Linked DNA regions of Danio rerio. The protein of the gene in region 1 purifies or fractionates together with the protein of each later gene. This does not show direct contact. Links are inferred from orthologs where the notes say so. Each region holds a gene or a part of one and is shown in the gene's direction. Other genes may lie near its edges. The genes, in order: dmd, sntb2 and sntb1.

Region 1 (7,684 bases):
GGGCTACTAATTCTATAATTGCAGTACCACAGTTTAATACATTCTCAATTTGCCTCGTGCAGAAATTTTATAAGAACCTGAGTGAGGTGAAGTCTGAGGTGGAGACGGTGATAAAGACGGGGAGGCAGATTGTGCAGAAGCAGCAGACGGAGCAACCCAAGGAGTTAGACGACAGGCTGACGGCCCTCAAACTCGCTTACAATGATTTGGGTTCACAGGTATGAGAAAACAAGGCTTGAGTGTAAAACGTGCACCATAGTATCGGTTTTGTTCAGTTTCTCATTGTAAATTATTATTACTTTACTTTTTAGAGCAACACAAACTCCTTCAAAAACATGATGTTACACATTTACACATTTGTTAAACACCCTTGAAGGTGGTTAATTACATTTTAGTCAGGTGCACTTCTTATCTCAAGGACTCCCCACAAGTTACACAAAAATCAGTAACTTGTGGGGAAAATAAATAACACTACAATTCAAAACTTTGAGGGCAGGGTTTTTTTATTTATATATGTAAAAATAATACATGTTAGATGTAAAAAAATAACTTCAAATGACCTCCAAATTTCAAATGAAGCTGTTCTCTTAACTGTTTATAAAAGAATCCTGAAACTCTCCAAGGTTTCCTCATATTCATTTTATTTGAATAATTTACTAATTAAAATGAATGGTTAAATGATTGCATTTGATTGATTGATTGAATGAGTGACTAATTGACAAAAAATATTAATTGATTGATTGATTGATTGATTGATTGATTGATTGATTGATTGATTGCATTTGACTGATTAATTGTTTAACTGAATAGCTGATTGATTGATTGATTGATTGATTGATGGATTGATTGATTGATTGATTGATTGATTGATTGATTGATTGATTGATTGATTGATTGATTGCATTTGACTGATTAATTGTTTAACTAAATAGCTGATTGATTGATTGATTGATTGCAAAAGGATTTATGGATTTGATTGATTCCTTGACTGTCACAATTATTTATTGTGATTTGATTTGTCATTGATTGATCAAAATGATTGTTGTTTTGCATTGCGCAGGTAACAGAAGGAAAGCAGGAACTGGAGAAGATTTTGAAGTTACTGAGGAAGTTTAGGAAGGAGGTGAACAGTCTAACCGAATGGCTGGCTACTACTGATGGGGAACTGACGCGCCGCTCATCGGTGGAGGGTATGCCAAGTGATTTGGATGCGGAGTTGGCTTGGGCAAAGGTGAATAAATACTTAAATTTCAGCAGCTTTGTATGAGTCTAAACTATTTGCAAGTCATTAAAGTAATAGTCATCCCATAAAATTACAATTTTGTTATCATTCACTGATTGTAGTGCTCTTATAAGTTTCTTTTCTCCAACGTTCTGATATTCTTTTTAATATATGAAGTGGTGGGAATAACTATTAGAAAATCTTCTTTAGTGTTAAACAAAAAATTTAATAAAATAGGAAACCCATAAAGATTTGGAAATACTTGAGGGTGAGTTAATAGTGAGTAACTTTACATTTTTGGGTGAATTATCCACTTATCCAAGGATAAGCATGATTTTTTTTTAAACATGATTTTTGTTTTCCTACCCAGGCAGCGCAGGAGGACACTGAGCATCATAAGCCACAGTTGAAACTGGTGAGGGAGTTGGCAGGGACCCTGAAGGGTTTACTTCATAGCCAAGAGAACCTGATTGATGACAAGGTCAGTTTGCTGAACTGCAACTGGATCGCAGTGACGTCACGGAGCGAACAGTGGCTCAAACTCCTGCTGGTGAGCAACAACCGCTTCGTAGCAACAGTCTGACCCTGCTCTGAGTCATTTCATTGTAGGCAAAATATTTCTTAAGCTAAATGTGCCCTACAAGGCTAAATTCATTTCCTTTCAATTTCACATCTCCATATTGTTCTTTTAAATCCAGATGGCCATTTCTGGAGGCGGCAATAATGTTATGAAACTTTAAAGCATATTTATCTCCTGCTCTTCTTTATTACCTTTTCTACTGCTCGCCGTTTCCACATCTCATCTTTTATCTTTCTGACTATGTTTTCTACCTTATTCCGCTTTGTAAATAGCTATAAATATCTTGGGGACAACATGTCAAGAGATGAGGCTTAGCCTTGAAGCTAAAATGAAAGGATTAAATAAAAGTAAATTCATAAAATGAAGATTCTGTTAATGTTTTCTAACTTATATATTATTTACCTTATATGTCCACATAGCACAAAAAGAAAATGTTTAATAATATATTTTTCAATTTTTTGCATGCAGTGGAAGAAAGTCTAATGTTTCACAGGTGTATATCAGAGTTTATTAAAAAATAATATGGCATTCTAGGGCTGCACAATATATTGTTTCAGCATCGGTATCGCAATGTGATCATTCGCAATTGTCACATCGTACGATATGCAATGTTGAGTCTATATTATTATGTTATTATTATAAGCCAGAATTTACATGTTTTTTTTAAGCCTTTGACTGCATTCACGGCCAAGAAACGGTACCGTTTGTAACTTTAATAAAGATTCATTTTATTGAATTATTATTATTATTATTATTTAGTTACTACACCAGAAGACTATTAGACTCGGAAAAAGATAAAAAATTCAGTCGTATCTTGTATTTTTTTTATTGCATTGATCTATGCTTGAAGGTGGTTAATTATATTTTAGTCAGGTGCATTTCTTATCTCAACCGAACCAATCTAAAATAATTAATCCTTTCCAAATCGAAGTATTCAAGTCTTCTGCTAAAATGGTAATCATATCACAATATCGATTTTTCCAGTAGTGTGCAGTTCTAACGTATACAGTGTAATTAAGTTAAGATTTATGCATGATTTATTTTTATTTGGTAGTCAGTCAGTATTTTATATTGTCCTGTTGTAATTTCTGCTGATGATACGGTTCTCATCTGAAGTTTCAAAGAAACCCTATTAGTAGTTGATAATTAAAATAAAACACATTTAACACATACACTCGCCGGCCACTTTATTAAGTGCAATTAAGGGTTAAAGCAGTTCCAAAGGCAAACGTGTTTACAACCCGGTACTAGTAAGTTGTACCTAATAAAGTGCCCGGTGAATGTATCTGTTAATGGCCACTCAGAGAACCAAAATTAACTCTGATGCTGTTTCTATTTTTCAAAGCTGTATGTTTCGCTGTTTTTTTAACATGCAATGTTTGTAAGAACACAACCGTGAATAAATAATAACAGACAGTACATTTTTGGATAAACGTTTACTTTAACGTAGCATCTACTGTAATATCACAGCCTGTTATGGAGCATATTTCTTTATGCTATTAAGCGAAGCTGAATGTAAACATACAGTATCTCCATCTGCCATGCAGGATTATCAAAATCAAATGAAAACACTTGAGCAGAACATTTCTCAGATCAACACCTGGATGGATCGCGCAGAAGAGAAGCTGGATGAGATGGACAGCCAGGGCTGCATTGAGCACGTTATAAAGGTCTTCAGACACTCACAATATGCTTCTGCACTTCACAACCGAATGTTTTCTGTTTTTGAGGACTAGAGACGGTTTTATGCAGCCATACTTTTGCATCAAATTAAAGGAAAAGTTATCCATCTTTCTTTGGCAATGATGTTTTGATGGCTCATTAATTGGAGGCAATTTGCAGCAAATAAAACTCTAGATTAAGCCATTAAGGAGAACAAAACAGACAGATGGCCAAAAAATTGTATTTTAGATTTAGAATACAGATCATCATTCATCCGTACCATCTATACATTAAATATAACCGTCTTTTGTAACTTATTACCTAAATATTTGGTAACACTTTACAATTTGTGTAAGTTAATGAATTAGTTAACATGTATCAATGACGAAAAACACATTTGTTAAGCATTACTTATTCTTTAATGGTAACTAAACATATAATAACATGTTAGTTGATGGATTAGTTAACATGAACTGAAGGCGAACAATGTTTGTTCAGCATTATAATCTTTAATAGTTGTTAATGTTTAATTGCAATGCAATAACCAGAACAATTAAGTTACAGTAAGTAGAATTTTTTTTCTGTTTGTAACAAGTGATAAAAACTAGAAAATCTAGAAAAATTTAATTATAAAAACCAGTAAATTAAGTTGCTGTAACTATAATAAAAAACTACTTCGTTAGTTAGTTAGTTCTAACTTAAATGTTGTAATTAGCACAACTTAAATTTTCTAGCTAATGCAACTCAATTATTCTAGGTCTTATACTGTAACTTAATGTTTTAGTTAGCACAGCTTAAATATTCTACCTAATGCAACTCAATTATTCTAGATCATATACTGTAACTTAATTTTGTAGTTAGCACAACTTAAATATTCTAGCTAATGCAACTCAATTATTCTAGGTCTTATACTGTAACTTAATGTTTTAGTTAGCACAGCTTAAATATTCTACCTAATGCAACTCAATTATTCTAGATCATATACTGTAACTTAATTTTGTAGTTAGCACAACTTAAAATTTCTAGCTAATGCAACTCAATTATTCTAGGTCTTATACTGTAACTTAATTTTGTAGTTAGCACAACTTAAATATTCTAGCTAATGCAACTCAATTATTCTAGGTCTTATACTGTAACTTCATTTTTGTAGATAGCACAACTTCAAATTTTTAGCTAATGCAACTCAATTTTTCTAGGTAATATACTGTAACTTAGTTTTTGTAGTTAGAAAAACTTAATTGTTGTAATTACTGCAACTTTTTTTCTAGTTACCGCAACTTAATTTTTCTAGTTCTTATAACTTTTTTTGTAGTTCTCATAACTTACTTTTTTGTTACTGCAATTTAATATTTTTTTTGAGTTTTTAATTGTCAAGTGTAATTGTATTTTTTTTTTTTTTGCAATACCTATGAATTAATCAGATTTATAGCATTTATTCTAAATGCATCATTCATAACTGATTTGTTGGTGTTTTCTGAATGTTCAGGGTTTGCGAATGGAGTTGGAGGAGATGAAGGGGAAAGTTGAAGCAGTGCAAGTTCTAGCAGAGGATCTTATAAAGAACACAGGGGAACATTGTAAAGCTCAAGTGAAACCAAAGCTTGAACAGCTTAACCAACGTTTTGACATTGTTGCAAGAAGGATTTTAATGGGACAGGTAATGCTATGAAAAGGTGCATGCCTATACACTACCTGACAAAAGTCTTGTTGTCAATCCCAGTTGTAAGAGCAACGAATTATAACTTGACTTCTAGTTGATCATTTGAAAAAGTAGCAGAAGGTAGATTTTTCAGATGAATCAGATCAGATGAATCAGTACTGCAGAAGACCTATTGAAACCAGCATGGACCAAATATTCTCACTGAAAGTAGTCAAGTTTCGAGAAGAAAAAATCATGATTTGGGGTTACATTCAGTATGGACCAAGCTAGAGATCTGCAGAGTGGATGGCAACATCAACAACCTGAGGTAACAAGACATTTGTGCTGCCTATTACATTACAAACCACAGGAGAGGGCAAATTCTTCTGCAGGATAGCACTCCTTCTCATACTTCAGCCTCCACATCCAAGTTCCTGAAAGCTAAGAAGGTCAAGGCGCTCCAGGATTGGCCAGCCCAGTCACCAGACATGAACATTATTGACCATGTCTGGTAAGATGAAGGTGGAGGCGCAGAAGATGAATCCAAAGAATCTTGATGAACTCTGGGAGTCCTGCAAGAACTCTTTCTTTGACATTCCAGATGACTTTATTAATAAGTTATCTGAGTCATTGCAGAGATGTTTGGATGCAGTTGTTCAAGCTCATGGGAGTCATACACAATATTAATTCTCTTTCCACTGCACCATGACTTACTGTACATATACTGCACATTATTTCTGTTAAGTGACAAGACTTTTGTATAAGCAAAGTCAGACCTTGCTGACCTTATTAAAGAATTAAAAATCAAGGCATGATCATGTTTTATTTTGGTAAAATAAGAGTCACCTAAGCCTTTGTCTTTCATGCAAGCCACTTCTGATACCAAATGATCAACTAGAAGTCAAGTTATTATTTGTTGTTCCTAAAACTTTGATAGGCGACAAGACTTTTGTCAGGTATTGTACTGTATATGCATACACTATAAAACATATGCTGGGTTGCCGTAACCCAATGTTGGACAATGTACAATATGGACAAACCCAACTATTTGGTTTAAAAGTGTCATTTAAATGTAATTGAAAAAAATATCCCAACACTGAGTTTGTTTTTGTTTGACCCAATACTGGATTACAACAACTGAGCATTTTTGGTGTATATATGCACAGAATTCACATTATTTTTTTCATATAAGATAAGGATGTGGCCTATTATCCAAACTGATACTTCTTATCATATAATTTCAATGTGTTTTCATAGTTATAAACATACTGGTTAGTAGCAAAAGTATTTTTTTCTAGTTGTTTACATATCACCACCTTGGAATTGTAAGGGTTTATCTCCATTCTGAGCAGTTTTACGTATTTCAAACTAACAAGGACATATAAGAAAAGTGAATTTGAATCTGATTTCTCTCCCTCTGCTGAAGCTAAATTCGTTAGCGACATTGTCTTATTATGCCACTTAGAAAATAGATTTTTTTTCAATGAATATAATTGGATTTGAATGTATTTGATCATATTTTCTTCCAGGCCTCCTCCCAAGAGTTAGACGAGTACCACAGACAGGCTAATATATGGCTCCAGGTGCTGGACGAGGAGATTAAATTAGGTGAAAGTCTAAAAGAGGAAGATTTCCTGGAGGATGCGGTAAGAAAATACTCTCAGCTGTTTCTTTGGCTAAAATTAATTTCAGTCATTGGAACCGCGCGGCCTGCGAAAGGCTCCGAGCTTTATCGTAAAGATCTCATGACAAGAAACGTAATGAGTTTCAGTGAGCGGGTCTGCTGCATGAGTAACAAATGCTGGCACAGAACGTCATTGCATTCCATATATCTATCAGATAGACGGATGGATGGTTGGATGGATGGATGGATGGATGGATGGATGGATGGATGGATGGATGGATGGATGGATGGATGAATGGACGGACGGACGGATGGATGGCAAATAGATGTGTACTATAGATAGATGGACAGATCAACGTAAAAATGGATGTGTGGATGGATGGTAGATAGAAAGATCGATAGAAGTATGGATTGATAGATGTGGTTAGACTGTATATTAATATGATTTACACTATATTAATATAATATGACTGATAGATTGATAGATAGATAGATAGTGGATGGATGGATGGATGGATGGATGGATGGATGGATGGATGGATGGATGGATGGGTGGATGGATGGATGGAATGATGGATGGATGGAATGGCAAAAAGATATGTAGATAGATAGACAGATCATCTGATTAATGGATGGATGGATAGATGCTATTATAGATAACTAGATGATAAAGAGAATGATGGATGGATGATGGATGGATGAATGGATGGACGGACGGATGGATGGATGGCAAATAGATGTGTACTATAGATAGATGGACAGATCAACGTAAAAATGGATGTGTGGATGGATGGTAGATAGAAAGATCGATAGAAGTATGGATTGATAGATGTGGTTAGACTGTATATTAATATGATTTACACTATATTAATATAATATGACTGATAGATTGATAGATAGATAGATAGTGGATGGATGGATGGATGGATGGGTGGATGGATGGATGGAATGATGGAT
Region 2 (8,461 bases), on another chromosome or scaffold:
TTCCCGCTCCTTAGTTTGTCATCGCTTCCCCGCGTTGTCACTCCACCCCATCCCCCTTTCCCGCTCCTCAATTTATGATCGCTTCCTCGTGTCGTCGCTCCACCTACTCTCCCTGTCCCCACAGTTTGTGATCGCCCCCTCCCCTCATGAGGGGACCCCGTTAGTGGTCCCTGCAGGGGGGCCCCCGCATTTTGCGCTACGCCACTGGTGACCTATTATGTTGCTTTTTTACAAGATTTAAAATGAGTCACTGATGTCCCAAGAGTGTGGCTGCGTCCGAAACCGCATACTTCCATACTATATAGTACGCTAAAATCAGTATGCGAGCCGACTAGTATGTCCGAATTCATAGAATTCGAAAATCAGTTGGCGAGAAGTACCTGGATGACTTACTACTTCCGGCGAGATTCTGGAGTGTGCATTCCATGCACGCTGCGCTATCCCAAAATGACCCGTTAAGAGAATTCATGAATGGAAGTGAGGCGACGCAACTGATGCAGGTAGGTCATGTGACCATGACAAAATGGCGGATGTAGTACGTCCGAATTCCATTCATACTTTCAAAATTCATACTGTATAAAATGTACCTTTCTAACGGCCGAGTAGTACGTTTACTTGCAAATGCAGTTCCTACTGAGTATTAGGCAGTTTCGGACGCAGCCTGTGTGTGCATGAAGTTTCAGCTCAAAGTACCACACAAATAACGATTTATAATGCTTTGAAATGGCCCCTTTTAAGATTTGATCCAAATTGTGGCATTTTTGGTGACTGTCTTTTTAAATGCAAATGAGATTGTGCTCTTTTCAGAAGAGGGCGGAGCCACGAATGCCTGTGTGTCAGCATAGTGGCAGATTCAACAACAAGACTGATGTAATATGCTAATGAGGGAGAGATTGAGTGGGTGGGGCTTTCCCCCTCATCATACAAAGGGAGAACATCAGTCAAAGTGTTTCTGCAGACTGTTTTTATTAAAGTTGATCATGAAAATTAAAATTAATAAATATTTACAAGTATAAGCTGGTTATATTAGCAGATTGTCACCACACAGTTGTGTTTAAACCCCTTATAAAAGTTATTTTTGCACAGTAGGTCCCCTTTAAAGTTGTAATATATACATAGCTTTATAGTTTTCATTCTGGATGTGAACAGGGCTTTTCAAGGATAGAGATGCGAATCACATATGAATTATTCATGCCTTATCACCCTCTCCCGCACTATGTACCTCTAACCACAACGTGAAGAAGGCTTATATAAAAGACAATCCTTTTTTCATCTTTTCCTTGATTCGAGCTTGAAAGTAATGCTATGTATCTGAGCCGTGCTAATAGGAGAGATCCTCATATAGTACATTAGTAAATGCATATTTAAAAGCTAATGTATTTTTAATGCTTTGGAGTTTGGTTTAGCATCGGAGTGTGATGTATTTATCTGGTTTGACTGATTAGTGAAGGTCGGAATGAAGCAGGTAACAGTGATCCAGTAATAAAGTGGCCTTCCCGTCCACAGCTCGAGCTCTTATTTTGTAAGGTCTGCAATAAAACCAATGCCACAAATCACTCTCCAGAGCATTTTTTCCATACTACAGATGCGGTTGGTGTGTTATATTTTGGTATTTTATTATGTACGTTGTTAATAGTGACTTCACTCACTGGCCACTTTATTAGGTACACCTTACTAGTACCAGGTTGGACCCCCTTTAACCTTCAGAATCGACACGGCACTGGAAATATTCTTAAGATTTTGCTCCATGTTGACATGATAGCATCATGAATGTGCAGATTTGTCAGCTGCACATCCATGATGCCAATCTCCCATTCCACCACATCCCAAAGCTGCTCTATTGAATTGAGATTTGGTGACTGGGGAGGCCATTTGAGTACAGTGAACTCATTGTCATGCAAGAAACCAGTCTGAGATGTTTGGCACTTAACGGCGTTCTTCTGCTGGAAGTAGCCATCAGAAGATGGGTACGCTGTGGTTATTAAGGGATGGACATGGTCAGCAACAATACTCAGGTAGGCTGTGGTGTTGACACGATGATTAATTGGTACTAATGGGCCCAAAGTGTGTCATGAAAACATCTCCCACACCATTACACCACCACCACCACCAGCCTGAACTGTTGATTTAAGGCAGGATGGATCCATGCTTTCATGTTGTTGAGGCCAAATTCTGACCCGACCATCTGAATGTCACAGCAGAAATGGAGACTCATCAGAGCAGGCAACGTTTCTCCAATCTTCTATTGTTTAATTTTGGTGACCCTGTGTGAATTGTAGCCTCAGTTTCCTGTTCGTAGCTGACAGGAGCGGCACCCGGTGTGTTTGTCTGCTGCTGTAGCCCATCCGCCTCAAGGTTGGACATGTTGTGTGTTCAGAGATACTTTTCTATCTCATGTTTCTTTGTTTATATTACAATTCTGAATTAGTTTTTTTCTTCTTCCTGCAATTCTGAATTTATTAATCATTTTGAGGAGTTCATAGGCTGTTTTTTTCAATTCTAAATTTTACAACAAAGATGTTTACATGACAGAAAAATAGCTGAAATTATGTTCTTATTTATTTATTTTACTTTGTGATGGTTGTTCCTGATGATCCTCAGTTGATTCATCAGTTTTCCCTCTTTTCCATATTCGTGCTATAAACATATTCACAAACGCTTACACAAAACTGTATTTTGAATACTCCCCCCCCTCCCCCCTCAAATTCAAAACAACACGACTACATTAATTAGTGTAAGGAAAAACAATTATCATACATAAATTTTCTGTCAACTGTGATAAATAAAATAAAGCTGTGTATTAGAGTTTTTTTTTAAAGCTGAGGTGAGTCATTTAGAGTATGAGTAACACTTTGAAGCTAATGAGAACAGTCAACATCTTTTACTGCGAGTCAATATTATTTTGGGCAAAAACACTTATGTGTTATATTGACCAGCAGATTTACCAAACACATGACTTCAATACAATAGAGCTTCAATCCCTTCAGCTACAGATGAAAATGGACTTTGCTTTATGGTATCGGGATGGAAGGATTATTAAAGCTTAATTTAATTCTCTATTAAAATGAAAACAGTAAATATGAAAATTAACTAATAATCCCATCTATTTATAAAAACTTAAATTAGCTCACCAATAGTCTTTTAACTGTCTGTGAAATAGTGACAAGTTAAAATTTTATATTAAAAACGTATTTATTTTGTTTTATATTAATTATAATACTAACAATAACTATTATTATTATTTGTTGTTGGATATTAACTTATTCAACGTATAAAGATTTGAATCTGATTAATTATTAATGAGAGAGTTATCTTTGTTTTCCTACTATCTATCTTATTACAACTAAAAGCTGCATTATAATAAGAACAAAAGTCATACAGTAATGATGACACTGAAGTAATTTTACGCCATTATTTTCGCTTTGTTTCTAAATCACTGTACAGCTTTAGTGGCTTTAGTGCGGCGAGGAAAGATAAATAAGTTGACAATCCCCGCCCCTCTCATGAATAATCAATGAGATACAAATCTAACGCTTTTCTCCGGCCGTCCGGTCTAAGCAGCAGCGCGTGTTTTTAATTAAATAGTTTCTCCGTGCCGTGAGAACCCGAACTCGGAGAGCTGCAGCAATAAATACCAATGTTTAAACTTATTAAACAGATTTATTATTAAAATTTCGCTCCTCTTCCTTCCTCAGGGGAAATGTGCGTGCGAGTGGGTGTGTCGAGCGAGTTTAAACTTTAGGATGAGTTAAAGTTTGATGATGGCCGTGTGGACCCGCGCGGAGAAACAGGGTCATCTGGACCTTCTGCTGAGCGACCGCTGGGTCCGGGTGTCAGCGGAGCTCACGCGGGACAACCTCACTCTCACGGCGGAGGGAGAACCGGGCGGGCCCGCGGGTTACCCGGAGCACAATTCGCATCTGAAAAACGGCGTTTCCAATGGCAACGAACAGAACCGGGATGTGTTTACGAATCGCGTGCAATACGACAACAGCCCGGGTCGCGTTAACGGGACCGGGTCGGACTCGGAGTCCAGCGGTTACTGTGACTCGGAGGGGGTACGCAGAGTTCGGATAGTCAAGCAGGAGTCCGGCGGACTGGGGATTAGCATTAAAGGGGGACGGGAGAACCGTATGCCTATCCTAATATCAAAGATCTTCCCCGGTTTAGCTGCGGATCAGAGTCGAGCTCTGCGTGTGGGCGACGCGATACTGTCCGTCAACGGCAGCGACCTCCGCGACGCTACGCACGACGCGGCGGTGCAGGCGCTGAAGAAGGCTGGGAAGGAGGTCACGCTGGAGGGTAAGTCAATCACTCGAGCCGCGGGGATTCAGTAGGCCTTTGTAGTTTACCGTTAATCAAAACAAAGTTTTTTGAATAATTAATTATTTATGTGTTCATAATTTACACGCCTAAATAGAAACTTTGAGGTGTTTCAGGTTTTATTGTGTTGAGTTTTAACTGTTCATGTTGTAAACATTGGCTCATTTGACATATTAGATAATTCAGGTTTATAAGAGGTTTGGAAACCCCTTACTGAAGTTATGAAACTTACAGATGTGTGATGTGCATGACTGAAGGTTTTTTGTGGTAATAAGCAGATAACTTTTTTTTCTCTAATAGCAATTTTCTCCAAACACCAGGTATGATTTGAATAGGAATGGGAGTAATACAGTAAAAGAGGAATAGATAAACAGATGTACTGTATTACTGTACTTTTTTAACTTCATTTTTTTTTGGTGAAATCACAGTATTATTTTTTATTTATATATTTTTTATCTATCTAATGATTGATTTATCCCCTAAACATCTATCAATAACTCTGATTTGCAATACCCATATTCTGCAATACAAAAATTCTAATTTTGAATGATATTTTAGTTCGGTGTTGAAACACTTTAGTACGATATTTATTATTAATTATTGTCTTTGCACATTTTTTTTAATTTTAAATAAATAACATTTCATACAAGTTTTCTTCAAAATAACGCCCACTTCAGTGGCTCTTCTTCTTTGATTGGTGTTCACTGGCATGAAGGCGGAGTCAAGGTGTCATTCAGTGTGACTGACCAATAGCAAACCACAGTCAGTGTAAAAATCCAGCCCCACTATTTTTTTCCTAGTAAAGATTCTGTTTTGGGCGGCACGGTGGCTCAGTGGTTAGCACTGTCGCCTCACAGCAAGATTGTTGCTGGTTCGAGCCCCGGCTGTGCCAGTTGGCATTTCTGTGTAGAGTTTGCATGTTCTCCCCATGTTGGTGTGGGTTTCCTCCAGGTGCTCTGGTTTCCCCGCAGTCCAAACACATGCGCTATAGGGGATTTGAATAAATTGGCCGTAGTGTACGTGTGGGTGTAAATGCAAGAGTGTATGGGTGTTTCCCAGCGCTGGGTTGCGGTTGGAAGGTCATCCGCTGCATAAAACATATGCTTGATAAGTTGATGGTTCATTCCGCTGCGGCGAACCCAGATTAATAAAACGACTAAGCTGAAAAGAAAATGAATGAATGAAAGAATCTGTTTTGCGACTTTATTTTCATTAGTCTCGTACCTAAGAGTAAATCTATGTAACACGTTTTTCAAACTAAATTATATAAATTGTATGCATTTTGTGGGCCTGAAAGAATCGTTTTGACATGTAAACATTGTCTAATAAATAGTCCCACAAATTTTGTGTCGAAGTTTGTAGACTATAAAACAAAAAAACTATAAAATAAAAGCAAAAATTGTAGGTAGCATGAAAAAAATGCAGATAAAAGTCTTTAATATCTTTAAATAATGTAATTCACTTAATTAGAAATTTTATTTGTCAGCAATATTATTATTATTATTATATTACAAAATATTGGATTTGTTACTTTTGTTGATATGGTCTAAAATTTTAAGGGGATATATCATCTTATTATTTAAAAAACAACAAAAATCATGGTAATAAAAATTATTTGTATTGCAAAAACACGCGAAAAGCTGTGATTAATAAAAGATAAATATAATAAGTGGAATCATGACACATTTTTGTACAGTGACAATAAATAAAAATTTTAATTAATGACCATTTAATTTAATTAATTCTTCCTACAAAATATTATAGTTTAGTCAAATTTATTTATGCAAATGATTTATTTTTTCTGGATCGAAACCTAATATCTGATTCCTATTTTAGTGTAAATTTGGTCAGCTTACAAATATTTCTACAAATATCAGTTTTTTTACTTGGTGCTTAATTTTCATATTTACAAATAGTTAAACAAAACTGACTTAAACGCAATATTGGCACAGGCAGAGTTTACATTGGTGGAGTCCAGTGAGTGTTGTGGTATTTAAATGTCTCCCCAGCACTGGCACTGAGCCTCCAGGATAACACATTTAAGAGCCCCGTTGACTTCCATTATACGCCCTGTCCATCAGCTCAGTGAAACACATGTTGATCTGCTCAATCTCCTGCCTGAGAGACACCGAGACTGATGAGAACTGTGGAGCGGGGTCTCGTGAGATGAGCTCTGTTCACACACTCATTATCCTCATCAGCACTGGCCTAATTAAACCGAGAGCTGAATCTTTAAATGGCTCAGAAATGATCCCATGATACTGCACCAATGCTGGAATATTCCATTAGAAATGCAAAATAAGGATGCACCGAAATGAAAATTCTTAGCAGATACCGAAACACCGAAATAAATGATGCCAATCAGGGCTCAACAATAAGGACTGCCAGGCCAGCGTGTGAGATGCTCGGGACAGTAGACAGGATCATTACTGGCCCGATCAGGCCACTTGCTGCCTTGTCACTAAAGTTTATTTGCCTGTGACTAATTGTCAGATACAGTCTTAGAATTGGGAAAGTTAGGGCTGGGCGATTTTTTTCGATTAATTCGAATTTACGTTTCCAGACGATTTAATTTTGAATCAAATCGAGAAATCGCGATTTAAAAAAAAAAAAAAATTAATTCATTATATTGGCACCAATGTGCTTTGGTTCACTCTGTATGAAGCAGGAAGCACACCAGAAGCGCCTCTCGGCTATATGGGGCGTCTGCAGACTTGGATCCAGGCAGTTTTACGCCCCACAGCTTTACACCCCTGTTGTTCCTAATGCGTCCAGTAGGGGGGGGTGAAAGATACATGGCTACATAATATATTTGAAGTCAACGCTCCCAGATTATTAAATGTCCTGTTCATAAATGTATACTTTAAATTAGATTACGCTAAATATGAACGCCAAGTTAATTTATCATAAAGTGAGTTATAAACTTACTATGTAATATGCAGAATTGATACACTCACCAAATAATTCCAGATATGCAAAAGCCCAATTGCAAATTAATTTACATTAATTTAATTAGAAAAATTAAAAACACAAGTTGTTGGATAGTGTAATGGTTAATTGTTGCCAAGCTATACGTTTTCATATAGAGATATGCATTTGTTGTATTGTTCATATATAAATTTGCATTTTGAAAATAACAAAATTATAACCAAACAATACAGTGTAATATGGAGTAATGATGTGCTTTGATAAGAATGCAGAGGTATTGTTACAATAAATATTGTGAAACAATAAGGGATAAACAATATGATTGCATGTGCAATTCAAACTTCATTGGTAATATATAAAATGTACTGGATAGCTATATGAACAAAAATGAGTAGACAATTTATAATTGGGAGTTTCTATATGCATTTATAGATATATGATAGTTTAATTGTTTAAATTAGAACAGGATTGCATTACATTGATTGTAATTGAAAGTAATGCAATTTTAAAATTTAAAATAAAATCAATTAAATTTTCAGACCTGATTAGATTTATTTCAATATTTAAGAAAGTCAAATTTGGAGGAATAGTGTAGTTGGAGTGCAGATTTGGCTAACAACCCAGACCATGCAAGTGTATATATCTTTAAAAATTATTAAATATATAATAATTACTCCCTTGCTGAGACAAAAAGGTAAAAGAAAATTTGCCTTCATATCACACTTTCTTATGTAGGTTAATGTTCTTTTACTCTTTTGTTGATGTAGAACATGTAGCTGGCCTGCACATAGTTACCTAAAATTGAGTCAAACTAACACATTGCTGTTATACTACACCAATTTGTTTGTGTTGACATACACTCACATCGATCTTAATCTAATTAAAAAAAAAGGTTTAAGTTCCATGTTTTAAACACATATTTAACATAGATACCTCTTCATCGTGTTGCGTTTGGTTGGGTGAGATAAAGTTCTGGAGGCTTAAAATAACACTGTACTGCCTCCCTCTACTGGACACAACAGGAACAACAGGGGCGTAAAACTGCCTGGGCCGTAAAACTGCTTGGGCCGTAGATCTGTCTGGATTCCAAGTCTGCAGCCTCCCCCTACTCCCTCTCGGCGACACGCCGCGCAGCACCACGATTCTAGACGCAGGTCATATTTCAGCCGCGCCATAGAGCGCCATCTGATTAGTTTCATGTTAAATATCA
Region 3 (8,227 bases), on another chromosome or scaffold:
GTCTGCTATTTTTATTTGGCGGAAGACAAAAACAAATTATTTAAAAAAAAAACAGCCTATGCCCATTCTTAAAAAGGATCAGTCAATGTTTTCGTTTTGTAATCTAAATTAATCTTTGAGGGGAATATTATTTAGGGCAGGCCTATTTATTTTATTCAGTTGATTTAGTTTATTCTGTTTTTTCTGTGCTATCAGAAACACTGCAGGTGCTTGACAATGCTTTGTTGTTATGTTCTGTTATTAATATGCTAGCATATTAAAATAAATCAGTATTTCAAAATGCAATATTTAATGTGCCAGACTCAAAATAGACATGTGAATTAAAAAAAAAATAATAATAGTAATCTGACCAGTTAACCGTTAATAACCAATTAACGAGTGGCGGTTGTTGGTTAGCAAAATTAACCAAAATGAGCATCCCTACTCTTTACATATACACCCCTTTTGCCTTCAGACCTGTCTTAATCGTTCATGGCATTTAACAAGGTAATGGAAATATTCCTCAGAGGTTTTGGTTCATACTGACATGATAGCATCACACAGTTGCTGCAGATTTGTCAGCTGCACATCCATGATGTGAATCTTCTGTTCTGCCACATCTTAAAGGTGCTCTGTCTATTGGACTGAGATCTGGTGACCGTGGAGTACAGTGAACTCATTTTCATGTTCAAGAAACCAGTCTGAGATGATTCACACTTTATGACATGGCACGTAATCCTGTTGGAAGTGGCCATCAGAAGATGGGTACACTGTGATCATAAAGGGATGGACATGATCAGCAACAATACTCAGGTAGGCTGTGGCATTGACACAATGCTCAATTGCCAAGAAAATATCCCCCACACCATTACGCCACCACCACCAGCCTGAACTATTGATACAAGGCAGGATTGATCGATGCTTTAATTTTGTTGACACCATATTCTGACCCTACCATCCGAATGTTGCAGCAGAAATCAAGACTCATCAGACCATGCACGTGAGTGACTGATTAGAAATTTGCATTAATGAGCAGTTGGAGAGGTGTACCTAATAAAGTGGCTGGTGAGTGTGTGTATATGTATGTATGTATGTATGTATATATATATATATATATATATATATATATATATATATATATATATATATATATGTGTGTGTGTGTGTGTGTGTGTGCGTTTTTGTGTGTGGGCGCACACACACACACACACACAGACTCTGGCACATATTTTACCAGTGGATGCCCTGAGAGTACACTCACTTGTGCAACCACCAGTCCTGGGAATTACCCACATACTTACCTATTCAAACTCTTTGCTTATTGTAGTTTGACCAATATACTGTATGTCTTTGTACTTTGCAAAGAGAGGACAGCCATATCACCCTGTAGTCCAAGACTGGTTACTCACTGAAACTAAGCAGGGCTGAGCGTGGTCAGTACCTGGATGGGAGACCACATGGGTAAACTAGACTGCTTTTAGAAGTGGTATTAGAAAGGCCAGCAGGAGACGCTCAACCTGTGGTCTGTGTGAGTCCTAATGCCCCAGTAAAAGTGAAGGGGACACTATACTGTAAGTGGGCACTAAGTGTGGAGAGACTGCCCCTCATGATTGTGAAGCGCTTTGGGTGTATGGCCATACACAATAAATGTGCTATATAAATACACATTACATTACATTACAAAACTCATGCAGGCGCGAGAAGAACATAAAAACTCAAACATGGAACCTTGGGTGAACCATGCCTTAAAGCATCAACTTGGGATGGTACATTGATGAAGAAAAATCGAAATTAGTTAGCACTCGTGTCCCATTTAAAGTCTCAATCTAAAATTCTGAAAGAAATATTGCCATTAAGGATATCATGCGTTGACAGACACTATAGTTACTGTAGTTTGAGATCATTTTCGGACTACACAAATAGAAGTTACCTTGTCGAAGTAACAAAAGTGTACGACTGCATCTGTCTTTCACCCCTGAGTCTTTCTCTTTTCTCTGTACACCCGAGAGCATGAACGTTTCAACATGGTTTTTTATTTCAACTCTAATGAGCTGCATGTGCCTCCCTGCTGTTTCACAATCATCAGGGACTGACAAAAAGTACTTTCACAATTCAGAAAAAAAGAAGGAAAAGTCATTCCCTTTGGTACAGCAGCCCTTGTAAATTTCAGTCACGGATTCCTGCAAGCTGTTTTAGGGATAACCTGTACATTTCATGCAAGTCTTAATCCTTAAATTTGTCCCAATCAAACCCAGAGAGACATGAAACAGATTTAGAACACTTTTAATTCAATGGAACAATGGCATTGTTCTCAGTCTTAATGAAATCAGTCTTGTCATGTTTTTCCACTGTATTGAATTGGATAAAAATGTTTGCTTCACCGTCAACAAATCAGAAAGGAAATGCAACATGAAACAGTTTTTAAATCCCTATCAGTTTGGCAACAATCTGTAGAGAAAATGATTACTTTGCTAATTTAATCTTTAGCTTTTTATTTTCCTTGCTTTGATCATCAGCCAAGCACAGAGGTGATTGCTTTATTCAAATATGCACATATTGTCAGATGTTACTATTTTTTTTTATCTTAGTTATATCTTGTTTCTACATTTTACAGTAGCAAGACTTCTTTAATTGAAGTCTCAAATCTCTTTATAAAGTGCTCTGCAGAAGACGTGGGAAACATGTTATAGCACATGCAATAAAAAAAAAAATTGGCAAAGTAAAAAGAAGCATCAATAAAATAAGTCCAAACATTATTATTTATTCTAAGTTTAAAGGCTTTGAATGATAAAAAAATCAATAAAACAAAAATAGGCCCTTCATTCATTCATTTACTTGTCGGCTTAGTCCCTTTATTAATCCGGGGTCACCACAGCAGAACGAACCGCCAAATTGTCCAGCACGTTTTTACGCAGCGGATGCCCTTCCAGCCGCATCCCATCCCTGGAAAACAACCACACACACTCATTCACACTCATACACTATGGACAATTTAGCCTACCCCATTCACCTGCACCGCATGTCATTGGACTGTGGGGAAAATCGGAGCACCCGGAGGAAACCCGTGCACGCGAACGCAGTCGGAACATGCAAACTCCCCACAGAAACGCCAACTGACCCAGCAGAGACTCGAACCAGTGACCTTTTTGCTGTGAGGCGACAGCACTACCTACTGCGCCACTGTGTTGGCGAAATAGGCCCTAGTGAAAGACAAAAAGAAAATTAATTAACAGAGTTCAAACAGCTTCAAGTCCAGTGTACTGAAGTTATTTCAAAAATGCACAAACCAATATTAAACACCAGATGGCGCTAAAATCGTTTACGCCACTAAATTGTAGACCGTCTAGATAATAGGAACACCGCAGTTTTTTTTCGTGAGAAAAAACAAGCAAAACACATAAATGTTTTTATCATCTTGCTTGAGAATAATCGACATAATTGTTCCCCCAGTTATGTACATTTAAAGAGAACCATCAATTAATGTGTTAAAAGGTGCAAAACAGATTATTTCCCAAACCGGCACAGTGATGGAATTACAACAGCGGAAATCCATGTTCAGTACTTAAAACAAGGCGCTAATTATAGGTGGTTACTGTGTGTTTTTTTGAAAACATGCTCTTTATAAATATAGCTGTATTTTATTATATTTGGCGTCTCCCAACCACATGAGTGGCGTGTTTCCACGAGGTAAACAAACGCTCGTGAACGTTCAGCTGAGGCAAGTTTAACGGCAGGATTTTCAGGAACATAACTTTTCTAACATTAACGTACATTAGCCTTGAAAGTCATAATAGAGTTTGTAAACACGCAAATTGAATACCAAGTGACAGCTAAATGCAATCTGAAGCCGTCTGCCATTATTTTTTGCAAAGACATAAATGAACATTACTTTATGTAATCTCCGTGTGGAATGTAATGTATCTATCAAATACATCGATGTATTTAAAAGATACATCCCACACGGAGACTTGAAACGAAACATTTCCTGACAGCGAGAGGCAGTTGAGCATGGCCACACAGGACATCTCAGACATTTGCTCCACCCAAAAAGGATATGCATGTGGAGCCTGTAGAGGGGCTGAAACTATTCAACCTGAATCACAACTTTTTCCCTGTTCGGGGGTAAAGTCCTGTACGAGTGTATGAAATCACATGGCATTTTAAGAATGCTTCAAAGATGGCGGTTTGCGGTAACAGAGTGCAGAAAAGTGCATGTTTGGAGGTGCTGGTGCGGGAGCAATGGCACGCGGTGCTGGCGAGTTTAGGGGACGAGTCTCTGACGCTCAGCTGCGAGGATCCCGCGGCGGACACCAGCGTCAGCCTGAACGGCATCACCACCAACGGCTCCTACGACCAACCGGACCCCACCAACAGTCCCAAAACCGGAGCGAGAACTCCTTTTTCGGATTCACAAGTGCCCGAAGCGATTGCGAACCGCAAGAGATGCGTCAAAGTGATCAAGCAGGAGGTCGGTGGATTAGGGATCAGCATCAAAGGCGGGAAGGAGAATAAGATGCCTATTCTCATTAGTAAGATATTCAAGGGTCTGGCCGCGGATCAGACTCAAGCGCTGTACGTGGGCGACGCGATACTGTCCGTGAACGGGATCAATCTGCGGGACGCCACGCACGACGAGGCGGTGCAGGTGCTGAAGAAAGCGGGCAAAGAAGTTATGCTGGAAGGTAAGGACGAGGAAAACGCCAGAAAACCTGCCAGACAGGCTGAGTTTTGATGAGGCTATATGGGTTATTATCAGGTGTGTGGATGAACCTGTTGAAGTGACACGGCAGGGTGGATGCTGTATCATAATGCATACATAAAAATATATGCATTCGTGTGTTATAACTTTATATACACATAACATTTTATAGTTTTCCTCTATGAGGAGTTGTATTTTATTATGGTTTAGATTTGAAAGAACACATAACATAAGACTTGACCAATTGAATAATAAGAATAGAACTTTAAAAACAAACAAACAAAAACCTCAAAAGTTCAAAGTCAATCAGAAATTACTAAACCCATTTATTCAAAGATAACATTTGTTTGAAATGTAAAAAAAAAAATACAAATACACATCACAATAAGTAATGTTTATTCACATACGCTAATGTTTAAATGCAAATTGGCCAATGTTACAAGCTACAGTGTCAGTAAGGGTTATGGCATGTTCACAGAATTCAGTCACAAAGTTGTTAGATATGGGAAATGCAGTATGTCTCATAAATATAACACTAAATGTTTTATAAAGGGTTACTGAAGTACTACAACTATGCAACTTGTTAATTTCCTTTGGGTCACCAAATATGATGGGTTTTTTACGCAGCAAATTGCTTGGCTAAATAAACAAAACCCCACCCTAAACCAAATAAATACAGCAACCTGAGCTGGTTTAAGTTGTTTATTTATTTATATATTTATTTATTAAAGCAGGTTGATAATTAATCCAAAAACAAGTCCTTTTCTCACACCTGTGGAAGGTCATTGTCAGAGTGATGGAGGTTTTTGCTCTGCCCTCCGGTGTTGTACATTAAGGATGAAAGCACCCTTGAGAGTGACAAAGCTCTGAAATTCCCTCTGACTGAATCATAAAAGCACACCACAGATTTCAGAGGGACATCCATAACTTTCATTCCGCTCAGTCATGTTGAAGATTTCCATAATACAACTGAGGATTTAGAAATATGCTTAGATGAAGAAGACTTGCAATGGCAGTTAGGCTTGGAATACCCACACAGTCGAGACAGAATATGTATTAATTTAGACTGTGTGGAAAAGATCTAAATTTGTTGTTATTTTAAATAATTATAATATTATAGGCATAATTTACCCAAAAAATGAAAATTCTGTCATTATTTACTCATCTCTAACATGCTTTAAACCTTTCAGTTTATTACATCTGTTGAACACAAAGGAAGATATTTAGAAAAATATCGAAAACCTGTAATCATTGACTTTCTTCGTAATATCTTATTTTGTGTTCAAAATCAGAAAGACACGCATACAAATTTGGAATCACTTGAGGGTGAGTAAACAGTGAGTTTTCAATTTTGGGTGAACTAACCCTATAATTTTGATAAAAAACTTTGAGCATTGTGCTCTACAAAATATTACAATATTTATTATCGAGATTGTAATTAACCAGCTGTATCTACACCCAAATATTTAGAACAGAGTATACTAAAAAATACTACAACTGAAAGCAAAGCGCTTTAAATAGGCAAAGAACTACTCTCTGTGAAGTGTTGTGGATAAATATTAAAAACAATGGAGAAATAAAAAATTAAGTTGTTATAAGTACTTATCGAATACATTTTCAATGTTTATTTCAAAATGTGAAAATTTTGAGTGTAGGAGGACTTCATGTGAGTGCGTTGAGTCAAAGATCTCATTTGGCACACATTGCACACTGCCACTTTCTGGGCCCTATCATACACCTGGCGCCAAAAGGTGCAAGACGTGTTTGGCGTGATGTGTTGCTATTTTTCAGCGCTTTGTGGAATCATGGGTGTGTCGGTCTAGAAAGGAGGTATGTTAAGGTGCATTGTTGGCACATTGCTATTTTGAGGAACTAAAATTTACTGTGCAATTGATCAGCTGAAAGCAGGTCTAAAGTGCAGCACAGAGCGCGTTAGTTGTGCGCCTTAAATGCGTACATATTGCTTAGTACACACAGGCAATGTACAGCAATATGCAAATTTACAAATGAAAAAAGGAACTAAAGGATTAAAATATTACAAAATTTATTTTCCACATAAATATAAAAACCGCCTGCTCTGTTCTTTCTTCATCTCATGGGGCTTTTTTCACTTTATTCATGACAACTTACTTTCATATAATGTTATTATTATTATAATGATGATGATGATTATTATTATTATTTATATGCATATTTATATTTGTTTTAATACAAACAGGCTAGGGCTGCTCAATTATGGGAAAAATCATAATCACGATTATTCAAAACGATTATCAGTTGAAGTCAAAATTATTCGCCCTTCTATGAATTTATTTTTATATATAAATAGTTCCCAAATGATGTTTAACAGAGGATTTTTTTTTTACAGTATTTCCTAAAATATTTTTTCTTCTTATTTCAGCTAGAATAAAAGCAGGTTTAAATATTTTGAAACCTATTCTAATAGCTCAATATTATTAGCCCCCTCAAGCAATATATATTTTTGATTATCTACAGAAGAAACTACTGTTATACAATGACTTGCCTAATTACTCTAATTAAACCTTTGTGTCACTTTAAGCTGAATACTAGTATCTTGAAAAATATCTAGTAAAATATAATGTACTGTCATCATAGCAAAGATAATATAAATAAGTTATTAGAAATGAGTTATTAAATCTGTTGTGTTTAAACTGTGCTTTAAGCATCTTCAATGTATTTTTTATTTTATTATTGATTAATAATCAATAATATTAATGCTGAAAAAGTTACATTACAGCACATGCTTTTAGTCACTTTCACGTGGAACTGAGCTTTGCAGAGCAACACGTGTACAACTGGAAAAGGGGCGGTATGTGATGGAATAATCGTTTATTTAGATTAATGTTTTTTTTTATAATCTGATTTTTGATTAATTGCACAGCCCTAAAACAGGTTTAGAATTGTCCACCTGTCTGGTTTTTGACCATATGGGGCATAAGACGTGTGTTTGGATATAACTCCAAACATACTTTGTTAATATTGCTCATTTATTCGTTTGCTGGAAATAAGAACTGAATTTAGAAATAGTTTTGAAACAAATGTTTGTGCATAACAAACAAAATTTAGTATGTAGGCTAATGTATGTCTTCAGTGGAGTACATACAACACCATTTCCACGAAAGGAGTAAAGAGTAAAAGTGAGGAGAAAGCGAAAGTAAAGAGGCCGAATGAAGGAGGCTCGTTCTTTATCCTCTCACCGCAGATGGTTTGTTTAACTGTTTTCTTGCTAGTGAAGTGTTCAGTATTTCCATTTACAAAGTCCACCATGTAAATAGTAAATGTGTCATGGCGCGACTCAACTTCTCTTAAAGGGAATGGGAGATGAGACTCTCATTGGTTTAGTACACGTTATTCTCGAAACACACCCTAAAGCAGGTCGCACACCAGAAGCGCCGCTCGGCGTCGCGCCGCGCAGCGCCATGTATTTTAGAATTCTAAACATAGGTTTCTATCAGGATACACACACCGGCGCCGCAAGTCGGCGGCTGTCGGCGGCGCCCGGCGACGGCTCAGGACGCAGTTCATTTT

What was found.
Region 2: the proteins of dmd (region 1) and sntb2 purify together in Homo sapiens (co-immunoprecipitation; 4 studies listed by BioGRID and IntAct, counting the BioPlex papers as one, with this or other methods). This does not show direct contact. The link is inferred for Danio rerio from reciprocal best matches to the Homo sapiens genes DMD and SNTB2.
Region 3: the proteins of dmd (region 1) and sntb1 purify together in Homo sapiens (co-immunoprecipitation; 4 studies listed by BioGRID and IntAct, counting the BioPlex papers as one, with this or other methods). This does not show direct contact. The link is inferred for Danio rerio from reciprocal best matches to the Homo sapiens genes DMD and SNTB1.

What each region holds. Positions count from the first base shown.
Region 1 is NC_133176.1:12,341,808-12,349,491, reverse strand, and holds part of dmd (dystrophin), read left to right. Parts: intron 1-62; coding exon 63-218; intron 219-1,060; coding exon 1,061-1,231; intron 1,232-1,592; coding exon 1,593-1,772; intron 1,773-3,349; coding exon 3,350-3,472; intron 3,473-4,950; coding exon 4,951-5,121; intron 5,122-6,632; coding exon 6,633-6,749; intron 6,750-7,684. UniProt on the Homo sapiens protein: Anchors the extracellular matrix to the cytoskeleton via F-actin. Ligand for dystroglycan.
Region 2 is NC_133200.1:37,486,963-37,495,423, forward strand, and holds the start of sntb2 (beta-2-syntrophin), read left to right. Parts: upstream 1-3,503; 5' UTR 3,504-3,758; coding exon 3,759-4,302; intron 4,303-8,461. UniProt on the Homo sapiens protein: Adapter protein that binds to and probably organizes the subcellular localization of a variety of membrane proteins. May link various receptors to the actin cytoskeleton and the dystrophin glycoprotein complex.
Region 3 is NC_133191.1:15,591,925-15,600,151, reverse strand, and holds the start of sntb1 (beta-1-syntrophin), read left to right. Parts: upstream 1-4,106; 5' UTR 4,107-4,156; coding exon 4,157-4,661; intron 4,662-8,227. UniProt on the Homo sapiens protein: Adapter protein that binds to and probably organizes the subcellular localization of a variety of membrane proteins. May link various receptors to the actin cytoskeleton and the dystrophin glycoprotein complex.